Linked DNA regions of Arabidopsis thaliana. The protein of the gene in region 2 interacts with the protein of the main gene of each other region in a pairwise test. Each region holds a gene or a part of one and is shown on either strand. Other genes may lie near its edges. The genes, in order: AT5G57860 and AT1G14950.

The links.
Region 1: the proteins of AT1G14950 (region 2) and AT5G57860 interact in a two-hybrid assay, tested with the Arabidopsis thaliana proteins (one large-scale study listed by BioGRID).

What each region holds. Positions count from the first base shown.
Region 1 is NC_003076.8:23,435,397-23,451,610, reverse strand, and holds AT5G57860 (Ubiquitin-like superfamily protein), read right to left. Parts: upstream 14,058-16,214; 5' UTR 13,882-14,057; intron 13,692-13,881; exon of another isoform or gene 13,656-13,691; 5' UTR 13,621-13,655; coding exon 13,618-13,620; intron 13,338-13,617; coding exon 13,152-13,337; coding exon of another isoform or gene 13,137-13,151; exon of another isoform or gene 13,006-13,136; coding exon 12,966-13,005; intron 12,583-12,965; coding exon 12,524-12,582; 3' UTR 12,208-12,523; downstream 1-12,207. Other genes in the region: AT5G57910 (ribosomal RNA small subunit methyltransferase G), read left to right, coding at 1-62, 146-352; SKIP1 (SKP1 interacting partner 1), read left to right, coding at 696-1,024, 1,122-1,695; AT5G57890 (Glutamine amidotransferase type 1 family protein), read left to right, coding at 1,989-2,094, 2,171-2,325, 2,981-3,051, 3,124-3,161, 3,244-3,354, 3,441-3,540, 3,636-3,771, 3,859-3,963; AT5G57887 (uncharacterized protein), read right to left, coding at 4,526-4,780; MPS1 (multipolar spindle 1), read right to left, coding at 5,172-5,371, 5,658-5,725, 5,813-6,005, 6,098-6,211, 6,329-6,377, 6,468-6,547, 6,750-6,806, 6,924-7,070 and 2 more; eIFiso4G1 (MIF4G domain-containing protein / MA3 domain-containing protein), read right to left, coding at 8,178-9,176, 9,261-9,503, 9,591-9,941, 10,034-10,121, 10,241-10,338, 10,440-10,649, 10,740-10,847, 10,953-11,024 and 1 more; ADCL (D-aminoacid aminotransferase-like PLP-dependent enzymes superfamily protein), read left to right, coding at 14,324-14,459, 14,650-14,696, 14,933-15,099, 15,188-15,864, 15,969-16,063.
Region 2 is NC_003070.9:5,154,825-5,170,132, forward strand, and holds AT1G14950 (Polyketide cyclase/dehydrase and lipid transport superfamily protein), read right to left. Parts: upstream 3,446-15,308; 5' UTR 3,321-3,445; coding exon 3,134-3,320; intron 3,045-3,133; coding exon 2,764-3,044; 3' UTR 2,512-2,763; downstream 1-2,511. Other genes in the region: AT1G14940 (Polyketide cyclase/dehydrase and lipid transport superfamily protein), read right to left, coding at 1-231, 502-688; AT1G14960 (Polyketide cyclase/dehydrase and lipid transport superfamily protein), read right to left, coding at 4,510-4,784, 4,982-5,168; AT1G14970 (O-fucosyltransferase family protein), read right to left, coding at 7,261-7,411, 7,505-7,695, 7,772-7,939, 8,150-8,317, 8,445-8,649, 8,782-8,979, 9,078-9,166, 9,282-9,349 and 2 more; CPN10 (chaperonin 10), read right to left, coding at 11,106-11,157, 11,500-11,639, 11,726-11,830; AT1G14990 (uncharacterized protein), read right to left, coding at 12,530-12,580, 12,671-12,700, 12,762-12,878, 12,974-13,055, 13,209-13,327; scpl50 (serine carboxypeptidase-like 50), read left to right, coding at 13,789-15,123.

The DNA.
Region 1 (16,214 bases), on a different chromosome or scaffold from region 2:
ACGATGAAACCAAAACCAGTCCTAAGAGAAGAGTTCCTTTGTTTGATCTAAATCAGATATCTGTAAGCACATTTTTCACTCTTAATCAGATTGTGAAGAGACTTAGAAACCAAACATGTCTTTACTCATAAATTGATTTATATAGGGAGAAGAAGAGCAAGAAACAGAGGCAGTGGACAATAATCAAGAGAACACGAGAGTTGAAGAAAGTAATTCATGTAAGAGATTAATGATCAGTAGCATTGAGATGCAGCAGAAAGATGTGAAGCCATCTTCTTGCAGGAATGGCGGAAACGGATCAAATAAGAGGAAAATTTCATGGCAAGATCCTGTCGCAGCTCTCAGAGTCTAAAATAAGAAGACGGAACCTTTTGTTCCTCCTCATAGATCTTGTTGTAACATAGCTTCACATCAAAGTTAGCTTGCTTATTTACTTATCTTGATTGAACAACATATCCAATTGTGACTTGAAAACTTAAAAACCTTATCCAATGGTGGCTTATTGCAAACGTGACATTTCTATACCGAAACATGTGTCAGCAAACGACATTTATGGAAGTGATCCAAAAGTCAAGGAACAAAATTAACGGTCAGATGCATTGACACGTGTCTAAAGAGACACGTTTCGTGTAACTTTAAACTACATTATTACCGAACACAAAGAACCGATCTTTGAAAACAAAACAAGAATCTTTATGGAAGAAGACGGGTCTGATTGGGGCGGATTGGCTCCAGAGATACTCATCAACATCATTTCAAGGCTTACGATTCAGGAGCTATGGACCGGTCCGATGTTCGTCCAAAAATCGTGGCTAACTGTTTGCAGAGATCCGTATCTCTGGTCTATCTTCGATCTGGAGCCATGGTTCGATTCCTATCCCGAGTCGACTCACTTGTGGTCCCCTGAGTTCGAGCAGAAGGTAGACTTAATGCTACGATCAGTCGTTGATTGGAGCGAAGGTGGTCTCACTAAGATCCGCGTCCGCCATTGCAGCGACCACGCTCTCTCTTACGCAGCCGATAGGTAAATATCTTTCTTATCAAGATCGTGATTGAGTTTGTGATATCCTCTATTTTGGAATTTTCTATGGCTACGAGTCTGATTTTGGACATATCAATAGATGCCCGAATCTACAGGTTCTTGCCATTAGAAGCAGTCCTAACGTGACAGACGCATCGATGACGAAGATAGCGTTTCGGTGCAGGAGTTTAAAGGAACTTGATATCAGTTACTGTCACGAGATATCTCACGACACTCTTGTGATGATTGGTAGAAACTGTCCTAATCTGAGGATCTTGAAACGTAATCTTATGGATTGGTCTTCTCGGCACATTGGCTCTGTTCCTACAGAATACTTAGACGCTTGTCCTCAAGACGGAGACACAGAAGCTGACGCGATTGGGAAACATATGATCAATCTAGAGCATTTGGAGATTCAGTTCTCTAGATTATCTGTCAAGGGTCTTGCTTCGATATGTGAGGGTTGTCCCAAGCTAGAGTACTTGGACTTGTTTGGGTGTGTGCATTTGTCAAGCCGTGACATTACAAGCAACGTGTCAAGGCTTAAATGGCTTAAGGAGGTAAAGAAGCCAGATGTGTATGTGCCAAGGTCAGGGGATGTGGCGCAGACGGAGAGGTATGGACATTGGAGACTCTATGACGAGAGATTTGACATACAAGCCATGAGAATCTGATTTCTACACACACACTGCCATGTTTTATAATAAAGCTGCCCATAGTTCTGACTTGGGTCGGTTGTTTGTTATATGTCGTGTTGTTAAAATGGACCTTAGGCCCACGGGTCTAAACGGGCTATTTGTAATGTTTGAACGGGTACCCATTTAAACCCGATTACTAACGGGTCTAAACAAATATTAACCGAGTGGCCCATTTATTTTTAAGTTTTTGGAATTTTCTATGCTAAAACGACAACGTTACGAGTTCTTCAGTTTCTCAGTTCTCCAAACGACAACTTCGAGCCAAAACAATGGCGGCTACTACATTGTACAATTCCTGTCTTCTTCAACCGAAGTATGGCTTCACCACTCGCCGCCTAAACCAGTCTCTCGTTAACTCTCTTACGAACCCAACAAGTAAGTCTTCTCTGGAAGCGTTATTCGAATCAAAAGTTTCGATTTTTATCTGTGTTTTTTGTTTCCTCTGTGATAGGAGTTTCGGTTTTGTGGAAGAGTCGTAGAGATGTTATTGCGAAAGCTTCGATTGAAATGGCGGAATCGAATTCGATATCTTCCGTTGTTGTCAATTCCTCTGGTCCTATCATCGTGATTGATAATTACGACAGCTTCACTTACAATCTCTGCCAGGTTTCATTTCGAACACAATCTCCTATCATCACTACCTCTGTGAATGTTTTTGAATCTTTTTTGGTGTAAAAGCAGCTGCATTTGCATTTTTATTAGAAATGTATTCAGGTATGTGCATTGTGATTGATTGTTAGAATCTCATTGTTTCACAATCCAATCTAGTTTCTACATGCTAATAGATATTAGACTACCTAGTGTAGATTCTCTCTTGTTAATGTGATCAGAGTCGTTATGTCGAAATACTCTACTTCTCTGGAGAATTGTGTTTTTGTTTTATTTGGAAAAGCTCCTCGTTGCTTGTTTGCCCTTGTAACGAGTAATTGTTAGATCCAGCAAAACCTAATACATTACTTCTTTTCTGCCTAAAGACTGGTCTTTTAAGTAGAATCTTTATTCGCGTTCAAAGTTTGAATTGGTGATTTTGTGAGTTGCTATGTTTGACTTTAGATTGGTTATTCGTAGTTGAAATATATCACTTTATCATGAAATTTTGGCTGCTCTGAATATCCCACATAGATCCCAAATTTACAATTTGATCATGTCTTACTTCTAGTTCTCTATGTAAGCCTATGAGGTGCATACTATTAATTTCTCTTGATGTGGTTTCTTCTGCTTCAGTATAAACAAAATTTTGAATTGTATATATTTTCTACAGTATATGGGAGAGCTAGGGTGCCATTTTGAAGTTTACCGCAATGATGAACTTACAGTTGAGGAGCTGAAAAGGTAAGAGGAAAATACATTCTGTGTAAAACGTAATATGGCTAATCGATTGGTGTTGATTCCTTTATTATGCAGAAAAAAGCCAAGAGGATTGTTGATTTCTCCTGGACCTGGTAAATAGTTTGGCCTCTGATTATGTGGTGTGTCTTTTTGAAGTGCTCGAGAAGAATTTAACACTTCTCTTGAATTTGATAGGTACCCCTCAAGACTCTGGGATTTCCTTGCAAACTGTTTTGGAACTCGGACCACTTGTTCCTTTATTTGGAGTATGTATGGGTTTGCAGTGTATAGGAGAAGCATTTGGAGGTTAGTTGCATATAAAGAAGACATGGTTTTATTCTTTATGTTATGTATCGACAACTTAAATGCAATTTTGTTTGAACATTGATTAGGAAAGATTGTGCGGTCACCATTTGGTGTTATGCATGGGAAAAGCTCAATGGTTCACTATGATGAGAAAGGAGAAGAAGGCTTGTTCTCTGGATTATCCAAGTACGAATCAGGTTTTTCTGTGTTGTATAATATAGTTAATCATAAGTCTGTAAGAATGTGTAATGAAACAAATCTTGTTGGTCTGTTGGTTTCAGCCCTTTCCTTGTAGGTAGATATCACAGTCTCGTGATCGAAAAAGATTCATTTCCTAGTGATGAACTCGAGGTTACAGCATGGACAGAAGATGGTCTGGTTATGGCTGCCCGTCACAGAAAGTACAAGCATATACAGGTAAAACCCACTCAAGTGTTTAATGTAGCTTCTTGCCTCCTCCATTCAAAACAGAGCTCTTGAAGTCTTGTAAAAAAAAATTCACAGGGAGTTCAATTTCATCCGGAGAGTATTATAACAACCGAAGGCAAGACAATTGTTCGCAATTTCATCAAACTCGTAGAGAAAAAGGAATCTGAGAAGCTGGCATAGGCTTAGCCTGAATGAGAAAATCAGCTGTGTTCGATTAGTGCTTCCCTGTAATAATGTCTGCCAATGCAAAATGTTCCTTGGCATCTTACCATTGTTTCTACCCGGAATGTGTCTAGTTCTTTCAGTTCAGGACGAATCTGGAAAGGCTCGATAGTATTCAGTGCTGTTGGAACATAACAGTACATGAGATAAGATCTAATCAGATCTCACTTTCTTATTGTCATACTGGCTTTCCTTGGTCTAATTCACGGTTGTGGTATATATAGTCATCTTGCAAGTGAACAAGTGACTAGAACAACTTGATACGGCACATTGGCTCTGTTCCTACAGAGTACTTAGAAAACACATGATCAATATAGCAGCTGTTCAAAAGGAATTTTCTTTGGTTTATTGAAAACGACAACATGATAAGCTCACAATTTTCAAGCATTAAATTTGTACAAATACATGCTTATGTAGAACTCAACTTACATAAACGCATTACAAAGACGTGTTACTATGTACTACACAATTCTTGTAAGGAGAGTAGAAAAAGAAAACTACTTTTGATAGTAGATGGAACCTAGAAAAGAAGAGAACTGCAAGAACTAGAGGTGGCAAGGCAAGCAGTCATATGGAAGGAGCCTGACAAAAGTGTAATGGAAGCAGATGTGGGGCGATGTCCTCTGAATCTTCTTGCCCTTCTCCTTATGAAGACTCCAAGCTTCCTTGTCACACCAGCTTCGTGATCGACATGACCTGAACACAAAAGAAGGGACTGAGACAAGACCAGGAGTAAGATGATCGATAGGATGAGTAAGCCTTTGATGTCACGCATCTTTGCTATAAGATAAGGTTTTCGTCCTATGGCTTGCTTTTATAAAAGAAGACGTGAGAGTAGTTGAAGAAGATATTATTTCTGCAGGACATATTTAATAACAATTTGGTGGGTTGTTGATTGAGAAACGAGAGATAAACATATAATGCCATGTGGACCCAAGATTATAATATGACAAAACCATCATCATCCAAAGGTTCAAAGGTCAGAGCCGACATCGACCTAAGTCTTTACAGTTCTCACATTTTCTGCAGTGATATGATTAACAAATCAACTAGTGGTACCTTTAAGTCACTTGCTTTCCACACACCATCTTTTTATCAATTAGGAGTAAAAAAGGGTTCCCAATGAAAAGAAAGTTCTACAGAGTAGATGCTAACCTGGAAAGATATCATTCTATTTCTTGGTAGGCTAAGATTTTGTCCAAAATGGCTGGCTCCACCTCCCGGAAAGATGTGATCTGACCAACTCGTTTAGCTAATTCCCCAGTGACTCGGTCCATGTAAAGGAGATACAACCCATTTCTTTCTTCCAAGGCCTTTACTGCTTTCCTCGCATGTACTACTGATGCTATCCACTCCTCAAACATAACTGCATAGAATAAAATACAACCAATCTCAGCAATTTTTGTGATTCTTTTTGTCGCCTATGATTGTAATTCTGTATATAGCTAAGGTAGGAAACGACTATTATTCTAGAAAACGAGCTTAAGAAAAGAAAAAATGATGTCAAAAATAAAGAGAAAAAAAAAGAAATTTAAAACTCTATCAGAGCCAGGTTTCGATCCTGGGACCTGTGGGTTATGGGCCCACCACGCTTCCGCTGCGCCACTCTGATTTTTTGTTAATATATTATACATGATACCTTTAGTTATTACCATTGTCAAATGCTTCATTCGCCCATGGCAACAAATAGTCACATATAAGGAACTCAATTAGCTGTATCCTGCATGTTCATTAGACAACGTAATCAAGCTTAGCATCCCCAAGTATTATAGAAACACATTATCTCATTTGAATCTGAAATACTTACAGTATAAACATGCACTCATCCATCTCTGGGAATGATTCATCAAATGGATCCATAAATAGTAAATTTTCGGCTAAAATGGATATCCTCTGAGAAATAGCAAAGATTGCACGCTGTCCAATGAATGGTTCACTTCCAAGTTTACGGATCAAATGTTGGACATAAAACCCAACACTTGTTTCTAGTTGTTTCACCTCTAAAACAGATGGTGAAGGAAAACAAATCGTAGAAAAATGATAATTAGGAAGGAAAACACAGTTAGAATCATTATTAAACTGTTGAAGTTACCATTTCCTTTGACGGGAGTGCACATTCTTGTGATCAACTGTGTAATCATGAAGCTGATAGATTCTTCAACAGATTCTAAGTTCCTTCCCATCGATATTAACTTCTTCAGTGAAGCTTGAGTATGCCAAACAGAGCATTAATTCATAAGTGCAAACCAGGTTTATATTAAAGGAAATGCAGCTCAGGACTTAAATAATTTGTTTGCAACTCGGGAACTTTGAATAATATTACCGAATATGAAATCTACAGCCTGATGTGACCAATTGCTGAAGTTAGAGTCCTGCAGAATATAAGAAGCAAGTTCAGAGTTGCAAAGCATTTAAGAGTGCGTGCATATTACCAGAAAAAAACTTAAGCAACAAAGCCTAACATTGGAGTCTGCTTCAGACAGTTCCAGGAGAAAATCTATAGAGATCCTAAGATGTTCTGCTTCCTCTTCATAATCCGGTTCTGCAGTCAAAGTTTCAACTCAAATAAAAAAGAGTCCCAGAATATGAAATGATGGTGCTTGGTTACATAGACTCTGTTTTCCACTTCTCTCTCCCATATAGCACATTACGTCATATTATGATATGTTCTTGTATTGCTTTAAGGAAATTGAAACTCTGAGATAATAGACGCTAAACCAGGAAAAGGAAGACCCTAAACAAACCTGAGGGCTGCAATCTTTGAGATGATCGAGTTAACTTCCTTCTGCTCCTTCTCCGCGCTAAGGATAAAATGACAACACAAGCTGATAAGTTAAGCCCACAAACACAAAGGTAACAAAGAGAATACAAAATGTTCAAGCTACCAGACTGATGAACCTAAGAATAGGAAAAGAGACCTAGTCTGAGAAATCTACGACGAAGAACATCATTAAATCTCGATTCAGAGGCTTCTCCAATCCTCCTACCGCTGAATACTCCCAAGTTATCAAAGAAATAACACTTGCAAGAAGCATTCGCTGGGAATAAGTCACGATGAAAAGAACCTATAATTGACACAAAATGCATTAATAGAAAGACCAATCAGTTCTAGAAACATCTTGCAGCCTTTCCATTTTAAGAATCAATAAATACAGAAACGAATTTTTGCAAAAGTTAAGAGAGGCAGAAAAAAATACTTTCAGCATCCTTGAGATCTTCCTGGAGTCTGATAATCTCTTTCTTCCTCTCTTTAGCCTAATTTCAAAATCGAAAATCTCACTATGTTAGAACCTCCGTCTCGCAACAATTAGAGCTGACCTAGATTTCTAAACGAAGAACAGAAATCGAAATGTAGCCTAGAATTCGTAGATTTCACCAGATATATATATCAGATAGTTCGCAACGAGAAGGCCATTAAAACCAAATGCAAAAAAAAATAAAAAAAAATCGAGAAGTTTCACCTTCTGCTTCCAGCGAAGTGCATCAGATTCAGAAGAAACATAACAACGGGAAGTAGAAGAAGAAGATTGATGATTCTGAAACTTAGATCGTAGCAGAGAAACAGCGATTGCCAGTCTCAGCGACTCTTCCTTCTCTGTGTGATTTGCTTCAGCTACGCTTGAACTCATTTTTGTTTAAAATTGAAAAAAAAAAAAAAAAGTATTTTAGTTTTCAGGATAATAACTAATGATTCTCTGTCCTGCGCGGGAGAGTTTTTGTGACGCTTTACAAAGCCCACTCAGGCCCATTGATCAAACTTGATAAAGCTTAAGGTCGAATGAATCATTTACTCAACTAATGTTAGCTCAGAATCAGATAGGAATAATAGGAAGACGATGATCAAACATTTCCAATGTAATTATCTGAACCGACCAGTTTATAGGGGTCTCAAGTCTCAACAACAATCAACTGAATATAATAACTGAGACCGTAAAACAAAAATGCAAAGGTCAAAAAAAGACAAGTCACAGAAGAATACAAAAAAGGACATGGACTCATGCCCACAAAGAAGAGTGGTGAGAATAATGTCATAAGAAAAAGCTTCAACGAAGAGCAAAACTATTTTTGAGTTCTGAGAATCCTTTTCTCCTCCTCCTTCAAGCTTACAACACAACATTCATCGCACAAGCATAAGACCCAGAGAGAGCAAAATCGTCAAGTAATGATTCCTTTTACAGATTCCGACAAGCCTCTATGTCTGCAGCCTGTGAGGCCAACAAGGACTTCCCCTGCTCGCTTGACTCCACAATGCGTACAGCTGCATCGACCACCATCTTCTGGAACCTATCGTCTTCCATCTTCCCTATAATTTCTCTAACCAATTTGAAATCCACACCACCAGCCAGAATCAGCTTTCCCACAATCTCACCAAAATTGTTTGGTGCCTTAGGAAGATCAATTCCAATGTCGTCCAACATAGCACCGTAGAGCAAGAACCCAGTTTCAAGATCCTTGGGTGCGACTACCTTCTTTGATAACAAATACTCCAAGAGTGTAGCAATTGGCTCAACGACAGGCGGGCTTTTCTCAAGAGACAGGGATATTGCTTCCTTCACAAACTCTGGGTGATATGACGGCAAACCAAGCTCCTCTACACACTGCAGAGCTTCACCAAGTAGTCGGACATTGAAATATTCCTCGAGAAGCGACTTTGTTTTTCTTTGGAGCACTTCTTCGCTCAACTTGGGACCACTAGGCTGTGGTTTCTCCACCGGAACTGGTACGGTCAGAGGTGCAACTGACTGTGCTGGCCGTTCTGCTGACACGGTAACTGGACGCGACACTGAACCACTTCCCTGCAACAGTGCGCTTGTCTTGCCACTCATAATGCCACTGCTGCCTTGAGGTAAGAGCCTCGTGTTCATTGAGGCCGACTTGCTCACTGCTGGAGAATGTAGAGGTCCTGGCCCATCGCGTCTAGACATTGATCTTGTCCGGGGTACCTCCCAGTTATCATTGTCCACTCCGGGCATCCCAGGCATCCTTCGCGTCCCAGGCATACCAGGCATCAAGCCACCCGCACCAGGTCGCCCACCAGGGTAGACAGGGCCAGGGCTCACAGGCCCACCACTAGAAACCATACCCCTTCTCATATTTGCAGTGGCACCTGGTCGGAGACCAAGATTCTTCTCTGCCTCAGTATGTATTTCGGTTATAGTTCTTGCTTTCATCTGCACGAGTAATGTAAATAGAACATTAGAATCACTACACAATGGAGCAGGAAACAAGTCTCAACCTTGTAAAACCTAGAATACCTCTTCCCGCCTTGGAACCCAGCCATTGGAGCGCATGTCGATGATATTCTGAACCATGAATCTCAGACGCAGTTCCAACTGAGGATTCTTTGACAGAGCCTGTAGGCGTTTGAAATATACATCATTAATCCGTTTTGACTTCACGTTTCCGTCAAGTTGTTTGCCAATAGTTTTGAAGAAATGACAAATAGCTTCGACATTTTCCTCGGCTGGACAAACTTTCTCATCGGCCCCCAGAAGCTCCTGTGCACAGAACAAATTAAGAAAGGTTAATGCTAGATACCAAAATAAAAGAAGTCTAAGAAAATGTGTAAGCTTATAGGTGTTAACCTGAACAATGTGATGAACAATCTTTTCTGGGACCATCTTCTGCTTCAAAAGCTCACCAATCAAACGAATATTTCCTAGAGTCTTGAGCTTCAACAATTTTTCTTTGTCATTCCGCTCAGCCTCCTGATCTGGAGCACTCATCTGTCTAAGCTCCTCCCTCAACTGAGAAGCGCCCTCAAATGCCTCTTGACAGATATTCAGTAGAACCCTCTTAAATGTAATCTCCTTATCCCCAGGCTCTGCAGGTGGGAAGGTGGGCAGCTGGTCGTTGATATCAGAGCACAATTTTGCATACATAGGGCAAAAGGTCGGCTCAAGGACAGCTTTGTCAAAAATAAGGGTAATCACACCCTACAAATGAAAGAAAAGAACACGGGTTAGCCACACAAACAGCCTAGATGATTCAAACAAGACTTCATCTATGCTTGAGACATAGCATACACCTTCAGGATATCAGCAGATGTGATGCCAGATTCAATAAGTTGGCCCTTGAGAAGGTCATACTTTTCAGGGGTTAGCTTGTTCAGTATCCTGGACAAGAAAAGTATATCTTTGTAAGTGTGCATAGTCTATTTTAAAGATTTCATGTTGGCAGTAAAGGAAAGTTATACAAAAGTCTAGACAACTAATAACTGTCACAACGGCATTACCCTTTCACAGTCTTCAGAACACGATCATTTTCAGAAAGGTTTCCTCTTCTAGCTGACCAAGGAACTTCGGCTTTGACGAGGACAGGAGCTGGTCCACCCTGGTTCCACACGATATACAAATAAGTAAGAAAAATAAGAAATCATGCCAGAATGTAAAGGGCTAAGAAGAGGGAAAAACATTCATCTATTGATCAATTACCCCTTGGTTGGATGATATGTTTGCCCTTGAAAACTGGGAATTAGGTTGGTCTTGACGATTATATTGACTTGCTTCAACATACCTGGAATCTTTAGCTTCACGAAGATTATCCCACGACCTTTCCTCCCCAGAGGGTGGAGGTTGAGTAGAACGGCTACGCCAATCACGAGAGTCTGGCTCAGAGAAGCGACTTGCGGATTGAACGGGAACCTGAACCATTAAAATAAAAGATATGTGTTAAAAGTGAAACTTCATGAAACTATACCAAAATGCAAAATTTATGTTTCAACAAAACTATACCAAATTGCTTACGACACTTTCTCCACGTGCCCAAGTCCCTTCCTCACCAAACAGTTCAGCTGCAGTTTCCCGTTGGACTCTCAGAATTTCATCAGAGAGTTGAGTGGTCTGTATATATGCACAGACGTCAATGACCTCAACTAAGGAAGAACAAATACGAACAGCAGAAACTAAACCGGCTTTAATCCTATATTATTTAACTGGGATAATCACCTCTTTAAGCTCCAGGAGCTGCTCACGGGTGTACTTCACACGTTCACGGCCATCGAACCTCGAGTCTCCACCCTGAAACAAAAGCACAACCCAGGATAAATCTTCATTAACTAACACCCAATACACAAAATCATATAAGAAATAACGTATAAAGGAGACAAGGAACCACGAGTACTCAGTACAAAAGAAAGAGAGGAATAATTCTTTAACCATAAGGCCGAAATGAGTGATGAACTAAAGAAAAACTAGAAGAAATGTCAGTAGGTCCTTTATGAGCAAATAGCAGCTAACAAAATGCCCACCTAAAAGCCTACATATCATTATACGTCCATATTTACAGCAGAAACACATACTTGCGTGCGCCACTAAGAATCAGGACAAACAAACTGCTTGCATTACTCGTATTGACATATAAACCTATGAAGTTCAATTATGTATGTTGCAGACACCTATCAAAATCCAACATGAGCTCAGTAGTTATTACAAACACAAAGCATTAAAACTCGCAAATCAGAAAGATATTAGCCAATTCAGACATTTGAGAGAATCAAATCAGCAATATACCAAAGATTATAATTCCAAACAAAAAGGCTGCTGATTGCGACAAACCCGTAAAAAAGGATAAATTTTTAGCTCAAGCTAAGACAAGAGAGATAAAACAAATTCTAAATCAGAGGAAGAAGAGGGAGTTAGATCCAAATTTAGAGAGGGGACCCAGAAATGAGGGTACCTTGAAGGGAAAAGAGGAAGCAGGAGCACCACCATGAGGACGAAGGAGAGGTAGATCCGAAGATGAAAGAGAGCCAAAAGAGAGAGACGAAGAAGAAGAAGAGGAACCAAATAGTCTGTTTCCTCGACCGCCACCAGGTCTCAAGCTCAGAACCGTTTGATCGCCTTGCTGCATACCTCGATCTAATCCGCCTTAAGATCGAATCGAATCTCACAACAAAAATCGAAGAGAAAGGTAGAAGCTTTATCAGCGACGATGAATCGCTGACTCCGATAATCCAAGGAGAGGAGGGATCGGATTTCTGGGTCTCTCTCTCTCCTGCCGTTAGCGAAGAAGAGAAGAGAAGAGAAAAGTTGAGATTGAGAAATGAGAAGAAGAAGAAGAAGTCGAGAAGGAGACACAATCCCTTCTCTTTATTAGGGTTTTTTTCCTCTCTTTTTCCCGAACCAGACACACTTATAGCCTTAACGTTTTTTTCCGTTAAGATTACAGTTATGTCCTTTCATTTTGTTTTTTTGTCTCTTTATTTTGTCACCCTCATTGGGTTTTCCGTCAATGAACAATGTCAAATGGTAATAATGGAGCTTCCTCGGCTCGTGTTAGCTGCACCTCTAGCTCATTGTAAACATATTAAGAGACTGTAAAAACTACTAATCTGGCAAGTTGCAATCAAACTTCCACATCTCAATATCTTTACTTACAACAATTGTCTGTAACAAACTAAAGAGGCGTTAACACAAGCAGAGACGCAAAAGAAACAACTTCTGGCGTTTATAGACTCCTCCTTGTGTTTTGAATCAATACCTTCTCCTGAAGTTTCCTTGATACAGTAAGCAACTCTTCATGAAAGTGAGAAGTCGGTGGGCTGTGCAATGTTGACATCCTCAAACTCGTTATCATCTGCACATGGAAAAAAGAGATGCAATGCAATCATTATGCCGTTCATAGCTGTATAGATTCAGAATGCAATACAGCATCCTCAACAGTTGTGTAATCGAAACAAGGCTAAAAGAATAATAAGATTAGGAATCACATTCAGCTATATCACGGTCACAAAAGTTAGGCAAGACTCTTAAACATACCAAAAGATTATCCAGTGATAACAAAATAACTAAGATTCACAATAACAGGCTCAATTGAAGTCAATGGAGTTTGAAGGGTTCATATACCAAATAACATATAGAAAGATGAAGTGTGATAAGTAATTAACCAAGATGCATGATCCATTACGACATTTCAACAAGGAATTGAAAATTTCAGAATAAGAGGATCTAAGGTATAACCTTTCTTCAAAGTCAAAGCCACAACTGCATCATTCTCAACCTGAACAACCAAAAAAGAAGATGGTGACAAGCTTATAACTTTCAAATACACGCAAACGGAGGCAGTGGCTATGTGACCAAGTTCTTCTTTTAAACTTGAGCAATGACTCAAAAGATAAATATATTAGATAGTCAAACGTGTGATACCTTCTGATCTGCTAAGGATTTCGAATCCTCTAATACTTCTTCGGTAGACATTAAGACCAGACGCTGATTGTTAACTGGTTGCTCAATGAGAGCAAACAGTTTTTGCTTAACATCCAAAACAGTCTCTGTTGGATCACATTGGATAAAGTAAGTAGTTTTCATGCGCTTCACACGAATATACATAGCCTGCAAACAATATTACACAAGACTAATCAATACTACAACCAATATGGCCAAAATCTAACTTGTTCGATTGATTAAAGCAAAATTATTGCAAGACAAAAGTATCTCAACTTTTATTACTCCAAGAAGAACAGTAATAAATGTGATCAGGAAGCTGGAATTAAGAAGGGAAAAGATGTTCTCATTCCAAAAACATCTCTACTTCCCGTCAAATAAGCAAAGGATTGAATATACTAAGAACAATCAAACCCATCAAAGTGAACAAAAGAAGTAGAATGTTTACCATGGCAAGATAAGGATGAACAATTCACTCTTCTTCCGCTGCCGATTCACAAGACTTTAGAATCAAAATCTGTTCTAAGATGCCAATAAAAGATTAATCAGACTATCAGTGACAATTGACACACCTCAAAGAGTCAATTTAACTAAAGAGATGATCTAGTTATCCCCCAAATCTTTTCTTCTTTTGATATTCAAAAGAAAAGAAAAAAAAGCAAAGATTTTCAAAAATTACTGACTCAAATAACAAACAATGAAATCGACTTACCTAGATGGGTTAAGGACGAAAAAGTGACCACAAGAATGGATTAAGGATGAAATACTGGCAAAGAAATCAAAGTTGGCTTTTTTATAACTCGAGCTCAGAGCCCTACAAGGTAAGGAAGGAAGAAGAAAAATACCACTTTGGTGGCTTGTTTGGCTACAGATATAATACTAACATCGATTAGGCGTCGTACAAAACCCACTAAAAGACAGAGAGGGTTTGTTTTGTTTTAGGCTTTTATTTTTGATTGATTGAATATTAAAATACAATGCGAAAAGTCATATTGGGCTTATGGGCCGAATAACTTTATTTTATTTTTGTGGTGAAGTTAGGCCCAAATATTTTTTCGTCTTCTTCCAGTTCACGACTGAGATAATAATAATGCAAAGCAAGTTGCTATTTCCGAATGATCTCTCTCTCTCTATTCTTTTGAGTCCCAAACCCCATGGCAGGTTTGTCGCTGGAGTTTACAGTTAACACTTGGAATCTCAGGTCTCTCTCTCAAGTTCCATGTCCTTTAAGACATGGCTTTCGATTCCCGCGTCGGTTGACACGAAGAAGAACGATTCTCATGTGTTCTGGTTCGACATTTCTACCTTGTGTTCTCTCTTTTCTGATTTTTCTTCTGGATTGTGATTGGTGATGCATTTATTATAATCTTTTTAGGGTAATGTACACTTATTACCCTAAAAAAGAGATCAATTTGTTGATCGTTAAATTCCATAAGTGTTCTGGAATTGATGACAAAAATCTGCATTCGTTTCTCCACAGATTCAAGCTCTCAGTCGTGGAATGTTCCTGTTTTATCTAGCTATGAGGTAATTATGGTTTCTCTTTTATGTCTGTACTTATCAATCATATCTTTAACTCTTGAAACTGTTCACAATTTGTTAGCTAGAGATGTTTATTGACACAACCACCAGACATTTCTGTGTTTTGTCAATGAAATTATAGATGCAGCCCGTAATGAAGGATTGCGACATTTGTTTGTTATCCGTTTATGTTTAGAGGCGTTGATTGATTGAGTATCAGTGAAGTATGTTTGGTTTAAAAGGTTGGTGAGAGGCTAAAACTAGCAAGAGGAGGACAACAGTTCTTGGCCATGTACTCAAGTGTTGTTGATGGAATTACAACCGATCCAGCAGCGATGGTTCTTCCATTGGATGATCACATGGTTCACCGTGGTCATGGAGTCTTTGACACTGCCCTGATCATCAATGGGTTAGTCACTTTAAATAGTAGCCCCCTTTTCTAATTTGTCTTATTACTCAATCATCTGAGCTTCGCTTGTTGTCCTACGAATAAGCAGATACCTTTATGAATTGGATCAGCACCTTGACCGTATCTTGCGATCTGCATCAATGGCTAAGATCCCACTTCCATTCGATCGAGAAACTATTAAAAGAATTCTCATTCAAACCGTGAGCGTTTCTGGATGTAGAGATGGATCTCTAAGATACTGGCTCTCTGCAGGGCCAGGGGATTTCCTCCTATCTCCATCTCAATGTCTCAAACCAACTCTCTATGCCATTGTTATAAAAACGAACTTCGCCATTAACCCAATAGGTGTCAAGGTAGTGACCTCGTCCATCCCCATAAAGCCTCCAGAGTTTGCCACGGTGAAAAGTGTTAACTACCTCCCTAACGTACTCTCACAAATGGAAGCTGAGGCCAAAGGAGCTTATGCAGGTATTTGGGTGTGTAAAGATGGGTTTATTGCAGAAGGCCCGAACATGAATGTGGCGTTTGTTGTTAATGGTGGTAAGGAGCTTGTGATGCCGCGGTTTGATAACGTTTTGAGCGGATGTACAGCAAAGAGAACACTTACACTCGCTGAACAGCTTGTAAGCAAGGGGATTCTTAAAACTGTGAAAGTAATGGATGTGACAGTCGAAGATGGAAAGAAAGCAGATGAGATGATGCTTATTGGTAGTGGAATTCCGATCAGACCTGTGATTCAATGGGATGAAGAATTTATTGGTGAAGGTAAGTAAGATTATCATATAAACATTTTAAAAGCCTCACTTTTAATTACTTACATGATGGATAGATTGGCTGATTAAAGATGGGTTTCTTTCTGTCTGACTCAGGAAAAGAAGGTCCTATAGCAAAGGCGCTTCTTGATCTGTTACTTGAAGATATGAGATCTGGTCCACCTTCCGTTCGTGTTCTTGTTCCTTACTGAGCCAATCACTCTCTTTGTTCATCAAAGACAATAAGCTGTGGCTTTTTTGTAAAGCTTTGCTGTTATTGTAAGTTGAGTTTATCATGGGGTTTTTAGGTATCTGTCTTTGTAAAGATTTCTCTTTATCACTTTTGAATTATGATTGTACCCA
Region 2 (15,308 bases):
AGCTCTTGACAAACTTCATGTAGTTGATGGGTTCGGGGGAGTTTTCGTTGCGCTTTTCCCATATGAGAGTGATTTTGCAGACGCAGCCTTCCTTCGACTTGGGAATGAACTGGTAGATAACCTCATACTTCTTGTACTTCTCCATCGCTTGACCCTCTAGCCCTTTCAACGTCAACGCCATCTTTTCGTCGTCTATCTCTCTCTTCTCCTTGAAGACTTCCGGCTTTCCATCTTCATACAAACACACACACACACAATGCTAGACCAAATTAGCCGATCGTCAATCCTCGTATTACCAAACATGATTAAAGAGAGTGGACACCCGGTGTCGGTAGCCCTACTTTGAAACTCTTGGAGGAGAGTTTGAGAAGGTTCGAGGCCTAGCTACCAACATCTGGGAGAGGACTTATCTACCTTATTCCTTGGCCCCAAAAAATATATGGACCAAAAATCTAAAACTACCAAAATACTACAAAAAAAGAGAGAAGGTAAAGTAGAGACCGCATGTGATATTCCATGATCTGATGGAGCCGTGGGAGTCCCAGTCACCGTCATGCATAGTGCAACCTTGGATGTGGTGGCCGACGGCATCCTGGAAGACGTGGTTTTCGTTCCTCCACTTCTTGTAGTGTTTCTCCGCCGATCCCTTAAGCGGTACCTCCGCCACGTATGTTCCAGACATTGCCATTTCTCGATTGATTGTTTTCTTTTGAAATGTGTCAAGTGTTTTGTTTGATGCAAATACTCAAGTGTCGCACTTCCTTTATATACACGAAACTCACCACAACACTACAAATAGCAAAACGGCTATATATATATATGTATATGTAACATTATACATAATTGTCTCCTTCAAATATAGGGTTTAATTCTTTTAATTAGAGCTAAAAAAAATCATTTGTTCACCATCTACTAGATCCTGAGTATGAATGCTTAGTTTTACTCCAGAAATAAAATTGTGCACCCATATATAGTTTCTTTCTGAACGACCGGTTTTTGAGCTAGATTGTTGACTATTTTAACTCTAGTTCTAGATCTAATTTGTTTTAACTGTAGTTTCTAGATTGAATTTTATAAACTCCAAAATCAAAATTAAAAAGTAAAGCTAATATTTGAAAAACAAACACCTTAATAGAAAGTTGAACTATTACTCTGATTCTAACAACAAAAATCCCAAACCAAACATAGACTAACAACCTATTATACGAACACGCCATTGTCTCTTAAAGCATATTAGGTTTTAGTCTCCGACCAATTCAAGTTAGTTTTTCCTTACCATAACTCAAACGTTCAATATATGTATAAGAGGAAATATTTAATCTATAAACTACAAATTGAATTATCTAAAATATCCAATCGCTTGGAAATATCGTTAAATCTAGTACAACCTCCATATCATTTTAAGTGATGACATGTGAAGATAGTTTGTAAAAGCTGGATTAAGTTTCGACTCGGTTAGAATGTCATTATTCATATATAGTCAGAGACTCATAGGTATTAGGTAACCGATTATTGACTGGATGATTAATCATTTCATTGGATAAATACCGACTGAGAAAGAGAATAAACCTAGGCATAAGAGGTTTTGCGTAATTTGCAGATCAACGACATCATAGTGATATTGGTGCTCCACACGTGTGGACTAAGTGTCTTCATGTCCATCTATTCCTCCTTATAGATTCTTTGCACCCATACGTTTTTTTCTTCGGATTTAGTACTTTCTTATCACACATGCATATCTTAATTTCCGTTTCTTTTAAGTTATAGACTTCTAAATTCAAAAGACTTGAACCTACATACAGAAAAATTACTATGGTTTAATTACTACAAATCTATCTTCTCTTATTCATTGAATATTTATTTGATTGTGGTTATTTTTACTGAAAAAATAAATTGTACAGAGCATAATTAGAGTAGAAGAAGCTGAGAAGTGATTACAAAAATCAAGACTAATGTGATAATATATGATAGACAAAAATCAGTAATGCATCATTTGCAAGCGCTACATGGATCATATTGTTGCACGAAGACCTATTTGGAATAATGATGCAACTTCGTTGAGATAAAAAGCTATAATTATAAATTAATTTAAAAAATAACTATAATTATACCACCTTCATGGTGTTGCTTGCAAGTCCAACCATTAAACAAACTTTTTTTAGCTAAAGAAATCTGATAAGATGTCAAATTAAGATGATTATTTAATAACATTCTTATTCTTTTATTGTTTTATGTAGTTTTAATACGTAAATTATTTTAACTAGAAGTATGTTTTTGTTATAGGATTTACATGACTTTTAATCAGTATAAGAGCATACATGTGGTTTGGTTTGTTTGTTTCTATAGTTAATGCAAAAGATTTGTAAGTTTTATTTTGTATGTCTGCTTTTGTTGATTCATTAATGGATATTTTGGATTCTGCAGGTTAGTCAAGTTGTTACCTCGTACAAATTTCTTTAATACTTTTTCTCTTTCTTTATGAAATTAATTATGTGATATACAGTGAGACTATACATCCTAATATTGTGCTCTTTATATATTACGAACACCAATACTACACCATAACAACATCAAATCATCAAAGACAGAGATGATACATGCATAAGTTTACAAGACGTACCGCCATTATTATCAGCATAAAATGTACACAAGACAAGGAGGCGGTTTCATCATGTACAAGACAAACACAAACGACACACACACATATATATTAGGATGTTTCTTTATTTATTTTTATCTTCATAAGTATGGTCACTATGATGATTAAGCCTTGCTCTGGTTCTTGAGAATGTGGTCATCCATGTCAGCAGCCAAGCTCGTGACGAACTTCATGTACTTGATGGGCTCTGGAGAGTCTTCGTAGCGCTTCTCCCAAAACATAGTGACTTTGCAGACGCAACCTTCCTGAGACTTAGGGACGAATTGGAAGATGACGTCATACACCTTAAGCTGCTCCATCACATGACCATCCAGCCCTCTAAACGTCACCGCCATCTTCTGGTCGTCTAACTCCCTCTTCTCCTTGAACACCTCTTGCTTCCCATCTTCATATATTTACATGAACCTTTCATTAATAGAAACCCTAGCTAGTAATAAACACATATTCATACAAATAGAGAATGAGATAGAGGACCGCATGTGTAGTTCCAGGACTTGATGGCCCCGTGGGAGTCCCAGTCGCCCTCGTGAACGGTGACACCTTGGATATGATGGCCAATGGCGTCAGGGAAGAGTTGGTTTTCGCTCTTCCACCTCTTGTAGTGGTTCTTCGCTGACCCTTTCAGAGGAACTTCTGTCACGTATGTACCTGACGTCGCCATGATGAAGCTTCTAAAATACTTTTGATTACTTGTTTTTGAAAGTGTTTATGCAAATGCCAATTGTTTATTTTCTATGGAGGTGTACAAAAACTAAAGCATCCCCCTTCGCTTATATACACAAACTCGTCACAACATTACAAGAAACCAGATATATATGTATGACTTTTTCAAGAATTAAACATATATAAAATCAAAATCAGATTTTACTTAAAATATATGTGCTGTAGAGTTTGGATTAAATCTTGTTTGTCTTTTTTGTATACAGATGTAACGTTACCACTAAAAAATGTGACGTTCGAATTTATAATAAAAATGACCAACAAATATTTTGCATGCCATCCATTGTGCTGAAAACTATCAAATTATTATATATGGTCGGAACAAATTTTTGGGATTTGCTGGCCGGTTGAATTGGAATGGTTAGTGTTCCTCACGTTAATCAGATTTACAATTTACAAACACTTAGGGAAAACAGTTGGAAATAAACCAACTATTTGGGAACATACTTATCTATTTGTTAAAAATGTTGTACAAAGCAGAAAAATATTACAATATTTGCGATAAAAGCTTAACCCATGAGGGAATGCAGTTACAAAAAGTGGAGATATATGTATCACAGATTGATAATTAGATAAACAGCGAGTAAAGGGGAAAAAAAAGACCTGAGCGAAAGAGACGGACAAAAAAAAGAAGTAGGTGAAACTTCGACCGTTTTGGGTTATTTAATGCTACTCAACGTCATAGTGATACTGGTAGTCCACACGTGTGGTCTATGTGTCATCATCTCTATTCCCACTCTTCGCTTTAGGTTATTTGCCATACTTTGTGTTATCTAACTATTGATCTTAGAATTAGGGTTATTAACTTATTTGAAAATATTAAAATCTCTTATGTTACTGTGTACCACTGCACCGGCCTTTTTGTAATACTTTTGGATTATCTCGCTTGACCTAGATCCCCAACTATTTCCGGATAAGTTTGGGCTCATACCAGATTGTACAAGTACGTATTAAATAAACGAACATCATGGTGACTAAAAAGAAAGACAAAAAAAAAACGAACAACAATACTTTTATAAATAAACGTTGGACATACAACACCATGATGATATTAATATCATGTACGAGATGGACACACATTAATTAAGATAAATAAAAGGAGGATGTGATGATGATTAAGCATCGATCCATCATTCCTGGTTTTGGAGGATGTGGTCGTCCATGTGAGCAATCATCTGTTCCACGAACTTCATGAATTCGATGGGCTCTGGGGAGTCTTCGGTGCGTTTCTCCCAGACCATAGTAATTTTGCAGACGCAGCCATCTTTGGACTCGGGGATGAAATGTAACGTCGTGACATAAACCTTGAGGACCTCCATGACGTGACCATCGAGTCCATTGATCGTCACCGCCATATTCTCGTCGTCCATCTCTATCCTCTCCTTCAATACTTCCTCTTTCCCATCTTCACCACACACGCAAACACCACAAGATTGTATACTAATCAACATACACATTTATATCTAACCATAACCAAACCCTACTTTTCCATGTTAAAACAAATAACTTGTAAGGGAAACTCATGAATATCACATATAGCTAGGTGTACCCTTTAAGTCATTTGTATCATTATATAAAGAGAAAAAGAGTATAAATACGAACCACGAGTGTAGTTCCAGATTTTGATGGTGCCGTGAGAGTCCCAATCGCCGTCATGGACGGTGACACCTTGGATGAGGTGGCCGATAGCTTCAGGGACGAGGTGGTTCTCGCTCCTCCACCTCTTATAGTGTTTCTCCGCCGATCCCTTAAGAGGCACATCCGTCACGTATGTTCCCGACATCGCCATTGATGAATCAATTAGCTTTGGATTGTTTTTTGTGTGTGTGTGCGCGCGCGCGCTTTGACTTTTGAGTGCTTTTATTCCTGTTTTCTGATGCAAATACTATGATCTCTCCCTTCCTTTATATAGACAAGCTCAACACCAAGCTACGTTAACAAGGAAACTATTACCAAAATTTTTATACGGCTTTTAAATTGTTGACGGTTCATATATTATAAACAATTATAGTCACGTATTGATATATATATATATGCTATATGATCATGTGTTCAGTTAGCTAAATTAATCAGTTAATATGTTGATTGTTATAATTTTCATCCTTAGAAATTCGTTATAGAATTTTTTTTACTAGTACCCTTTAGATGGAAAAATTTACACCCTTAGAAATGATTAGCTAATATTCTAATATTAATGCAATCATTTCACACCATATATCAAATTGTGGATTATTCAACATGCTTAGAAAAATAATTGCGTATATTCTTGTCTCTCACAATATCACTAAATTTGTATTTTTAATGAACCGCGAATACTAGTTATACAATATAAAAACAGATGCCAGCCATTTGCTGACTCACACAAATTTTTCAAAAAGATTAGTCAATTGAGTAATGTCGTATATCAATCGAAAAAGAGATTTTAGAAAAAAAAGTAAGTTGAGAATGTTAAAAATCATTCAATATAATATATATATATATATATATATATATGTCATATTTAGATTAAATAGGACTCAATCATTACATTATAAGTCAACATCATAATTAGTTTTAAAGTTGAAATAACCATATATACTAAGACCAGAAATATATGTTCAAAGTTAAATATTTGAAATAATTAAACTAAGTCCTTCTTTCAAGTTAAACTAAGATCAATAATAGAGGGGTATCTCGATACTGAATTATTGATGATCTCATGTAAGATCTTTTGACATTGAATTCGGAAATTAATAATGGCACATGCATTCGGATGATATAACTTTTTTAAGTAAACATTGAAATAATAAACAACTTCAAACGTTCAGATGTAAAAAACAATAAAAATAAAAAAAAAACAAAAAAACAATACAAAGGCCCAATTGTTAAAGGCAAAGGCCCAAGCTCATCATAAAACAGGTAACACTAAACCGGGTTTTTTTCAGAACCCCGAAATAGTTGTGGTTAAGGCTTAACCACACTATAAGTCTATAACCACCATCGACGGCGAGGTTAATGACCACTTACGTAAGCAGACTAGCAGAGTCACGAAGATGTATACTCATTCAAATGTGAGCATGATGGCAGTGACACAAAAGTAGCGAGAGATACTAAACAAGGATTGATTAGCATTTAGTCCCCCTCCTTCCCTAATAAGATATGGTTCAGAACAAAAGCATGCAAAAGCGTCAAGGTGCACAATAAAGAGTCTCAATTGCGTACCAATCATATTCCAATTCATAGCCCTTCTTCAATAGAACTTATAGAGCTATGTAATCTGGCATGCCAACTGTGGAATAAGCATGTAGGTTCATGTGTTAATCAAGCGCATACAAAGCGAGAGTGGCCATTTTTAACAAGACGAATATTATTCAAGATCTTATTACTAAACATGGTTCTAGCTTCTAGGCCTTGTTTTCGTAGGAAACTAAAATGACAGACAGTAAAAAACATTGGACTCACCACATTCACTTGGAAGAACCATAAGAAAGATAATATTTAAAATGAAATGTAAACAAGATTAAACCAAAAAGGAACCAATCAATGTACAAATTTTTTTGGCAGCTCTCTTCTCCCCTATGATCTACATTTATTTATGGGCAAACCCAACACTAGACCACCAACTATACAAAACTCAAAAAACTTTTCAAACTGCAAAACACAAATGAACATCCAAATGCTATCCTCTCCGCCCAGAAACAAACGTGGGAACTAATCTCAGTTTCTCGTGTTAGATACATCAGCTTCAATGTGTTAAAAAATCTCCCCCAAGAAGAATGCTTGGGAAGTCCTCTCTGTCTCGCTCTCGCTCTGTTTGGATGCGGATGTGGCCAAAGAATTGAAAGAATTAGCAACACATGTAAATAAAAGAATGCACAAGAAGAATCCAGTAAAAGAATGTGTCAGGTGGCTGATGCTGTTGTTTTGTTCTTCCGGCACATACAATCAGGACAAGGGAATATGTAAATGGAGTCACTTGATCGTTTCAGCTCAAACCCCTTGGAGTCACTATGGGACCTCATACTTAGCATTTGCCGTTTAAAACTTTTCCATCTGCCGTAATATCAGAAACAACCATTGAGGGATCAACCAGATATTATTAACCAAAAAAGCATGTTTGTAGGTGGAAGAGGTTAGAGTTCTTACCCCAACTTGGGATTGTCAAAGAGTACGGCTAACTTTCGCTTGTCTGGCTGAATCGTCTTTGAATGTCCTCCAAACAAATACCTCCGATGCCCCATGAGGAAATGAGGGAAGTTTCCACCTTGTGTTGTCACAAATACCTCACTGTGGAGACACACCGTGTAATCTATTGCAGCCATTCTCGAGGAGAAGTTCTAAACACAGACACATAAGTTTACAAGTCAGAAAGGACTCATCCTGGATGAACAAACAGTGGAAAATCGTAGAAACCTTAAAAGGAGCCAGGTCTTCCTCAGAAGCAAGCATCTCCTTTGTCTGTAGATTAGGGAACATCTCGAGTAGTGGGGCCATAGTTCTATTTGCGCTATATATCGGGCCAGCGGCAAGGAATATATATGTACTTTTGTTGAAGCCCATTCCTCTAAGCATCAAACCGACCTGATAGGTTTACAAGAACGAAAATTGAACCAATATCAGCAAGTTAATCTACTCACATGCTCAAGGGTTTGCACAACTACTCTGATTATTCCACAGCAGTGTCCATGGATAAATAATATACAACAATATTCTCGTAACACTAATACTTAATATAGACCACAATCGTGGATAAGTAGAGTAATGTCCAGGTTCTAAAGTATTTATGCTTACCTCTAAAGGAGTTAAAGGGCATTTCCCATTGAGCCTGTTAGCTCCTGGTCGTATCACACGGCCCGGTTTTGTGAACTTCCCTTTCCATCCTCGTTCTCTAGCGGCAATCATGTCTTGTTTTTCTTGGTCTCCACCATCAAATACACAACAAGAGAACGCAACCATATCCTGCAACATGTTCTTATAGTGTATTATATCTCTCACCTTAGATACAGATCTGTTTTCAGAATAATCAGCCATGATAAAGGGACAAGTGAAAGATTCCTGATGCGTTTCTTCTTTACAGGTTACAAACCTCTTCAAAACGAAGATGCACAGAAACGTATTTCCCGGCGTTGTTTGCACTAAGACCCTTCATTTTGTTCACCAATGTTTCTCCTTGGGTCAGTATGGGTTTTGAAAATCGCAAGGCTACATTATTCGCCAAACATCTAAATCTCTGGACAGCTCGAGGAGCATCAAACGAAAGTCTATTTGCAAATGGGGAAATTCTTATAACCCTGTGCCGTCAAAAGACAACAAACAATTCAAAATCAGTGTAGTATAACAGAATAAAGAGCCCCTTACACAAAAACAAGACAGCTTATTATGGAAACTAAAGTTTATTAGTTAGCAAAAGAGGTGTGACTCACTTTTCTTCAAGCAGCTTTGGCAGGACTGAGTCCCGGTAATAGGAGGTGGGTGCCCATGCTTTAACTCTGAAGTTGTAGACATTTGTCAAGTTATAGTCAAAACGCTCCATCAAGTATTCAGGAACTGTATCGACCACCCGCACATCATTTGCTAAGGTATCGATAAAGTACTCTTCATCATAGATGTCCCCAAATTTACTGCAAGGAAAACCTTTTTTCAGAAAGTAGTTGAAACAGGGATGGCTTTGCTTAAATTTATAACACCAGGAGAAGATAAGAAAACAAATATCCGAAACCTCGGATCTTTCCATATGCTGTGATAGTGAAAGTTGGGAATTACAAGGGTCGCATTAAGGTAGCCTGCCACAGCAACCGCATTGCATATCTAAGTAAAACATGGAATAGACAAGTCAACAGCTTCACCTTTGACAAGTTTGCCAGACAATAGCAAGAAAGGCTTGTGTGAAAAAAATCAATTTGATGTAAGATGATTAACCTACCGAAGTCCGCTGCTGATTCAAGCCTCCATTTGCCTCAATAAATATGAAACCATTTGACACAGGTAAAACTACAATTGTTAACACAAACAACAACAAGAAAGCCTAATTGATTCAACTTATTACTTAGGACAAAGAACACTAACGAAGAAACTAGGAGAACAATGTAAAATACCTCCAGTAGACATGTTCACACATGGCTTCCATTCTACACCTTTATAGGAACGCTTCCAAATTGTTGATATCTTAAATGAATACAATTGCATTGACGATACATGACAAATGGGAACAAGAAAAGAACAGAGATCAATCTATGTTCAACATTGTTATACGTTCTCCTAGATATTATACTCTAATTGGATCAATCTATGTTCGACAATGGCCACATTCTCAAAACGATATCACAAGCGGGATAAAACGGAGGCAAACCTCACCGCATCAGCCGTGGTATTATCGGCTTCAATCTCGCCGCGAAGCCTAGCGTAAACCTGAGGGCTCCGGTAGACGGATCCCGGAGCAGGACGGCGGTGGATAATGGGAGAGGCATCAAACGACGCCGCGTGTAGGTGAAAAAGCATACAGGAGATGTAGATGATAGGAGCGAAAAGGAGAATTCCCTGACGCCGGAGAAGAACAGATAAAATGATCCATGAGAGACGGTGAGCGACGTTCCGACTTTGCTGTTGCCCGGAGACAGAGGAGGATTTCGACCGGCTCCGGCAGAGATGAGGAGATGTTGGCGGAGAAGGAGTAGTGTGATCGCTTCCCGGAAGCCGATTTTGAATCGACAGATCTCTCTCCACCTGGGAAATCATTGTTTCCCTGCTCTCTCTCTCTCTTCTCAATGCGCTACGCCATTAACGATATAATGCATTGCTTGTAACAATGGCAGGTGGCAAACGCCGATTGAACGGATTTATCCCGGCGGCGAAACTGTGAGTGAAGTAAGCAAAAGAGAGAGAAATTTTATTTATGTTATGTATGTATGCGCTCGTGCGGTGGAAGCATGATCGATTAATCACATGTACTTGAGTATTTATTTGGCTTTTCTTATGTGTTATAGTTCTTTAGTCTTTTTCTTTCTTCAATTCTTTGATTTCAGTTTCTATGGAAAACTATTGTTAAACGTGAGAATTCAATGCATCGGTTTCTACGTATGGTCTAATTTGTATTGGCAGAGAGACTTGTCCAAAAATAGCAATGAGTTTCATACACATTTTTCAGTTTTTGGTTAGAAAGATGAAATATTTTCAATCAACCAACCTATACTAAATTTGAAGGTGCGACAAGACAATATACTACAGTTGTCTTATCATCCAAACGAGTGGGTTAAACAACTGAAAATCCAAAATTAGTAGTTTTCCAACCATTGTGAAAAGGAAATCAAAAGACACAACTTTCAGAATGCATAGACATGGACCTACTTCTCGACCTGATTCAGTTGTCAATATGTGAAGAAGGAGATGCTATATAAAAAAAGCCATGCGGCCAAATGAGCTTATTTCTTTTGTTATAGCATGATCATGAATAAGCAAAGTCAACTAAGCTATCGTCTACATTGGCTATTGAAGTTGCTGCCTAAACGTAAACGAAAAGCATCCACAGATTACGGAAAAGCACAAAATGAGAAGATGCAACACTTGGGTTATCCATGTGATTGATGCCCATTTGTAAAAATTCAAAGACAGGTTCATAAAGGTAGATTCAATGATAAACGACAACAAAGTCCAACCACATCTTCAAGATAAACTAATTTATAAATGACTTCTCCTCATAACACAAACACCAACATGAACCCTCGTGGTTAAGTTGGCAAGCTTAGCCTTTTCAATCCTCGTGCAAAGTTCCCAAAACATCCTCGTCCCGGAAGAGATGGTACCTGCGTCCATCACACAAACACAAAAGTTACTCACTTTGAGTCAAATTCTTCTTCATTTGTAATTTCTTATTCGTTTCTAAAATCAACCCACCAATCAATATGTAAATCTGGTGTTCAAATTGGCATTATTAAACATTGATCAAAATGTTTTTAAATCCTCTGTTACAAAATTTTCAATATCTTCACAGTCTTACAAGTAATTCCCTTAGTTCCATCCATTAATCTAATTAATGGATAATGATTCCTGAACATGATTAGCTAAACATAAAGGTTCAATTAGATCAGATCAGAATTTTATCAGAATATTAGGGCAATAATAAGAAAGAAGCGGGTTTAACTTACTCGTTCTCGCCGAGCTTGACCTGTGTACCACCGTACTCTGGAAGAAGAACAGTGTCGCCTTCCTTCACAGAGACCGGAATCAATTTCCCGTCCTTATCCCTTGATCCAGGTCCAACAGCTATCACCTTGCCTGAGTTCAGCTGCAATCACCCAAAAATATGTTTATTTTTCAGATCTAAGAGGCGAAAATCAGAAGAATCAAATCGTGAAATCAAAGCTCTTTTACCTTGGAGGATTTCTCAGGTAGGAGAATGCCGCTTTCGGTTTTAGCGGGCTGGATGACTCTCTGCACCAAGATGCGGTTGAACGTTGGGATCAGACGCTTCATCATTTCTCAATTCTTCTTCTCTCTCAGTTGATGAATCGGAATTTTCTAGGGTTTCTGAGTTTTTAATTTGGGGCAGAGACACATAAGACGGAAGGTTCTAGATCGTAGGGTTTAGCGCGACAGAAAAAGGCCAAGGGTTTTGGGATTGTTTGGGCCTATAATATCATACTATTTCTTTAATGGGCCTCACTCATTAAAAAAAACCAGTCGCATTTGTGTTTGTCTAAATAAATTCTTGGAAGTGTTGTATGACCTTGCAGCTCAAATGGTTAGTTCCTTCCATGATTCTCTTTGCCAAGTTTTTCAAACTCCATGTACAATCCCATTTCATATACCACATCCAGAATGAGATGTTTATTTTCGGCAGATTTTTCGTGGAATGAAATCTTGACCTTTCTTTTATCAAACGTCTCTGCTGATGATGGAAAGCTTCTTGCTCTGTCAGTTTTCCCCATTTCTTTCAAGGTGGTAACCAAAGTTTTTCCCCGGATTGTTGCTTTGCTATGCTATATGTTTATTACATTGTGCCTCTGCGGGAATTACATGCTCTTAATTTTCAGAGTACAAATCTGAATAATCCATGTAAGCCAATGGTACGGTTCCGGACTTATACAAACACCATACAAATGTTCCAAGATACCAGGATTCGAATTTGCTATAACAAGATTAGGCACAAAGCTGAAACAAAGAGAGCTGGCGCCACTAGCCACTTCCATCGAGTTGGCCTTGAGATAGAAGGTGAGCCATGTATTGCTGCATTCACAATAAAATGAGCTCAATTCTTGGTTCTAACCCCACATGATTCGACAAACATTTCTATCAATGGCACCACAAAGTCAGTACCATCAAGATTCTAGACTTATGGAAACTGACCTTTACAACACTAAAATATCCGCACCACAGAGATTATCATAAAGAGATTGAAGAAACTTACGGAGTGGTAAACGTATGGAGATTTTCCCTGGCGATCAAAATGCTTAGCCATTATGCAGAATTCAACAGGACCCCAATCTTCAGATTCATAGCAATTCCCAAGCGCCGCTTTGTACAGCTTTACTCCAATAAACCCCAATCATCAGTTCCACACAGAACTAATCAACTATATAAACTGTAAACGACAACTCAAAATTGTCATCAAGGACAAACCTTAGCTGTGTCGGTCAAAAGTTCGGTGCCAGCAGGGTAAGATGCATAAAACTGATCTCCCCTGGAATATCCTGCTCTTGTTCTACACAACATTCGAATCAGTAACATTAAATCAAATTAAACCTGAAGCAGAAACCAAGAGAAGAACCCAGAAATTGAAATCATCTGCGAATTCCGATATTGAAAAGAAAGAACAACCAAAAGAAGCAAACTGAGATCGGACGAAAGACATTACGTGTTGTTTGTATAGAAGAATGTGAGGGCAGCAGTGAAGCAGTAGAATCCGGCGTAAGAGACAGCCCGTCGTAGCTTCTGGATCTTTATAACCTCTGAGCAAACATCCAAGATCATCATCTTCACACCTTCGGAAACTCTTTCAGGTATTATATCGAACACCTTGTGATCACTTTACCAAACAGAGATGACGAGTAGAAGAAGCATCTCACGAAATTTGCAATTGACAAATTGTAAACGCTTTGTATTGTCCAACTTTTTATGGGCCTATCTGACCTTTTTCTCTTTTCGGCCCAATAAAACTTTTAGATTTTATTTCTTTTGGCAACAATAAATTTAAAATAATATACATTATGGAAAATCATCTACAAACAAAAACCTTTAAATTAAAAAACTCACATGTTAATGCAATTAGGTTAGTAAGCAAGCACGTCTTGACAAAAATGTTATTGTTACACATTTAAAAATTCACATGTTATACAAGACAAAACATAAACGTAATGTTTTGCAGTCAAATAATGAAATAAATGAAATAATACAAAGGGATCTTTATGTAAAGGCGTCACCAATTAGTGGAAATAATGGAGCAAGCCACTACACTCTTCATATTGCTTTCCACTCTCCTCCTCGCCGTCTCCGTTGAGTCTCCTCAGCCACCGCTATTTCCCGATGAAGCTCTCCCCACTAAATCTGGCTACCTCCCGGTTAAACCCGCACCCGGCTCGTCCATGTTCTATGCCTTCTACGAAGCCCAAGAGCCAACCACACCTCTTCCTGACACTCCGCTCCTCGTTTGGCTCCAAGGTGGGCCAGGCTGCTCTTCAATGATTGGCAACTTTTACGAGCTCGGTCCCTGGCGTGTAGTTTCACGCGCCACAGACCTCGAGCGCAACCCCGGCGCATGGAACCGTCTATTCGGACTACTTTTTGTGGATAACCCAATAGGAGTCGGATTCAGCATCGCAGCCTCACAACAAGACATACCCACAAATCAGAGACAGGTCGCTGAGCATCTTTACGCCGCTCTCGTGGAGTTCCTTGAACAAAACCCAAGCTTCGAAAACCGACCGGTTTACTTCACTGGAGAGAGCTACGCCGGGAAGTACGTTCCAGCCATTGGATACTATATCCTTAAAGAGAAACCCAATGGGAAAGTGAATCTAAAGGGGCTAGCCATTGGAAACGGGCTGACCGACCCGGTGACCCAGGTTCAAACCCATGCGGTCAACGTCTACTACTCGGGTCTGGTCAACGCAAAACAGAGAGTTGAACTGCAAAAAGCGCAGGAGATATCTGTAGCTCTCGTGAAGTCCCAGAAATGGCGTGAAGCAGCAGACGCGAGGACCGAACTGTTGACGCTACTAAGTAACATGACAGGACTCGCGACGCTCTACAACACGGCACGGGCGATTCCATACAGAACAGACCTCGTGGTGGACCTCTTGAACCAGAGAGAAGCAAAACGTGTTTTGGGAGTGAGTGAAACGGTTCGTTTTGAGGAATGTAGTGATGAAGTAGAAGATGTGTTGCGGGCAGACGTGATGAAGAGCGTAAAGTTCATGGTGGAGTACGCATTGGAGAGGACTCAAGTCTTGCTGTATCAAGGTATGCTTGATCTAAGAGACGGCGTCGTTTCGACGGAGGAGTGGATGAAGACTATGAACTGGTCAGGATTGGGAATGTTCTCGACGGCGGAGAGGCGTGTGTGGAAGGATGAAGACGGTGTGGTCGCTGGTTATGTTCAGAGATGGGGGAATTTGTGCCACGTGGCGGTTACAGGAGCTGGTCATTTTGTTCCGACAGATAAAGCTGTGAATTCAAGGGATATGATTGAAGGTTGGGTTTTGGGGAAAGGATTGTTCGGTGGTAAAGATGTGAAGCAGACAACTTCGTCGAGCTTATACCATTCAATCTAAATATTGTGTACTTGTACTTAGTTCTGTAAGATTCAATTCAGATTCTAATTGTACTCTGGATTTAGATTTGTTACGTCATGTTCACAAGTTCATTTTAGTACGAATTGGTAACTTTTGCTACTTAGTTTATCATTTGCCTGTTCCTGAAGTCTTAAACTTTCTCAAAAAAGTTAGCATACAGTATA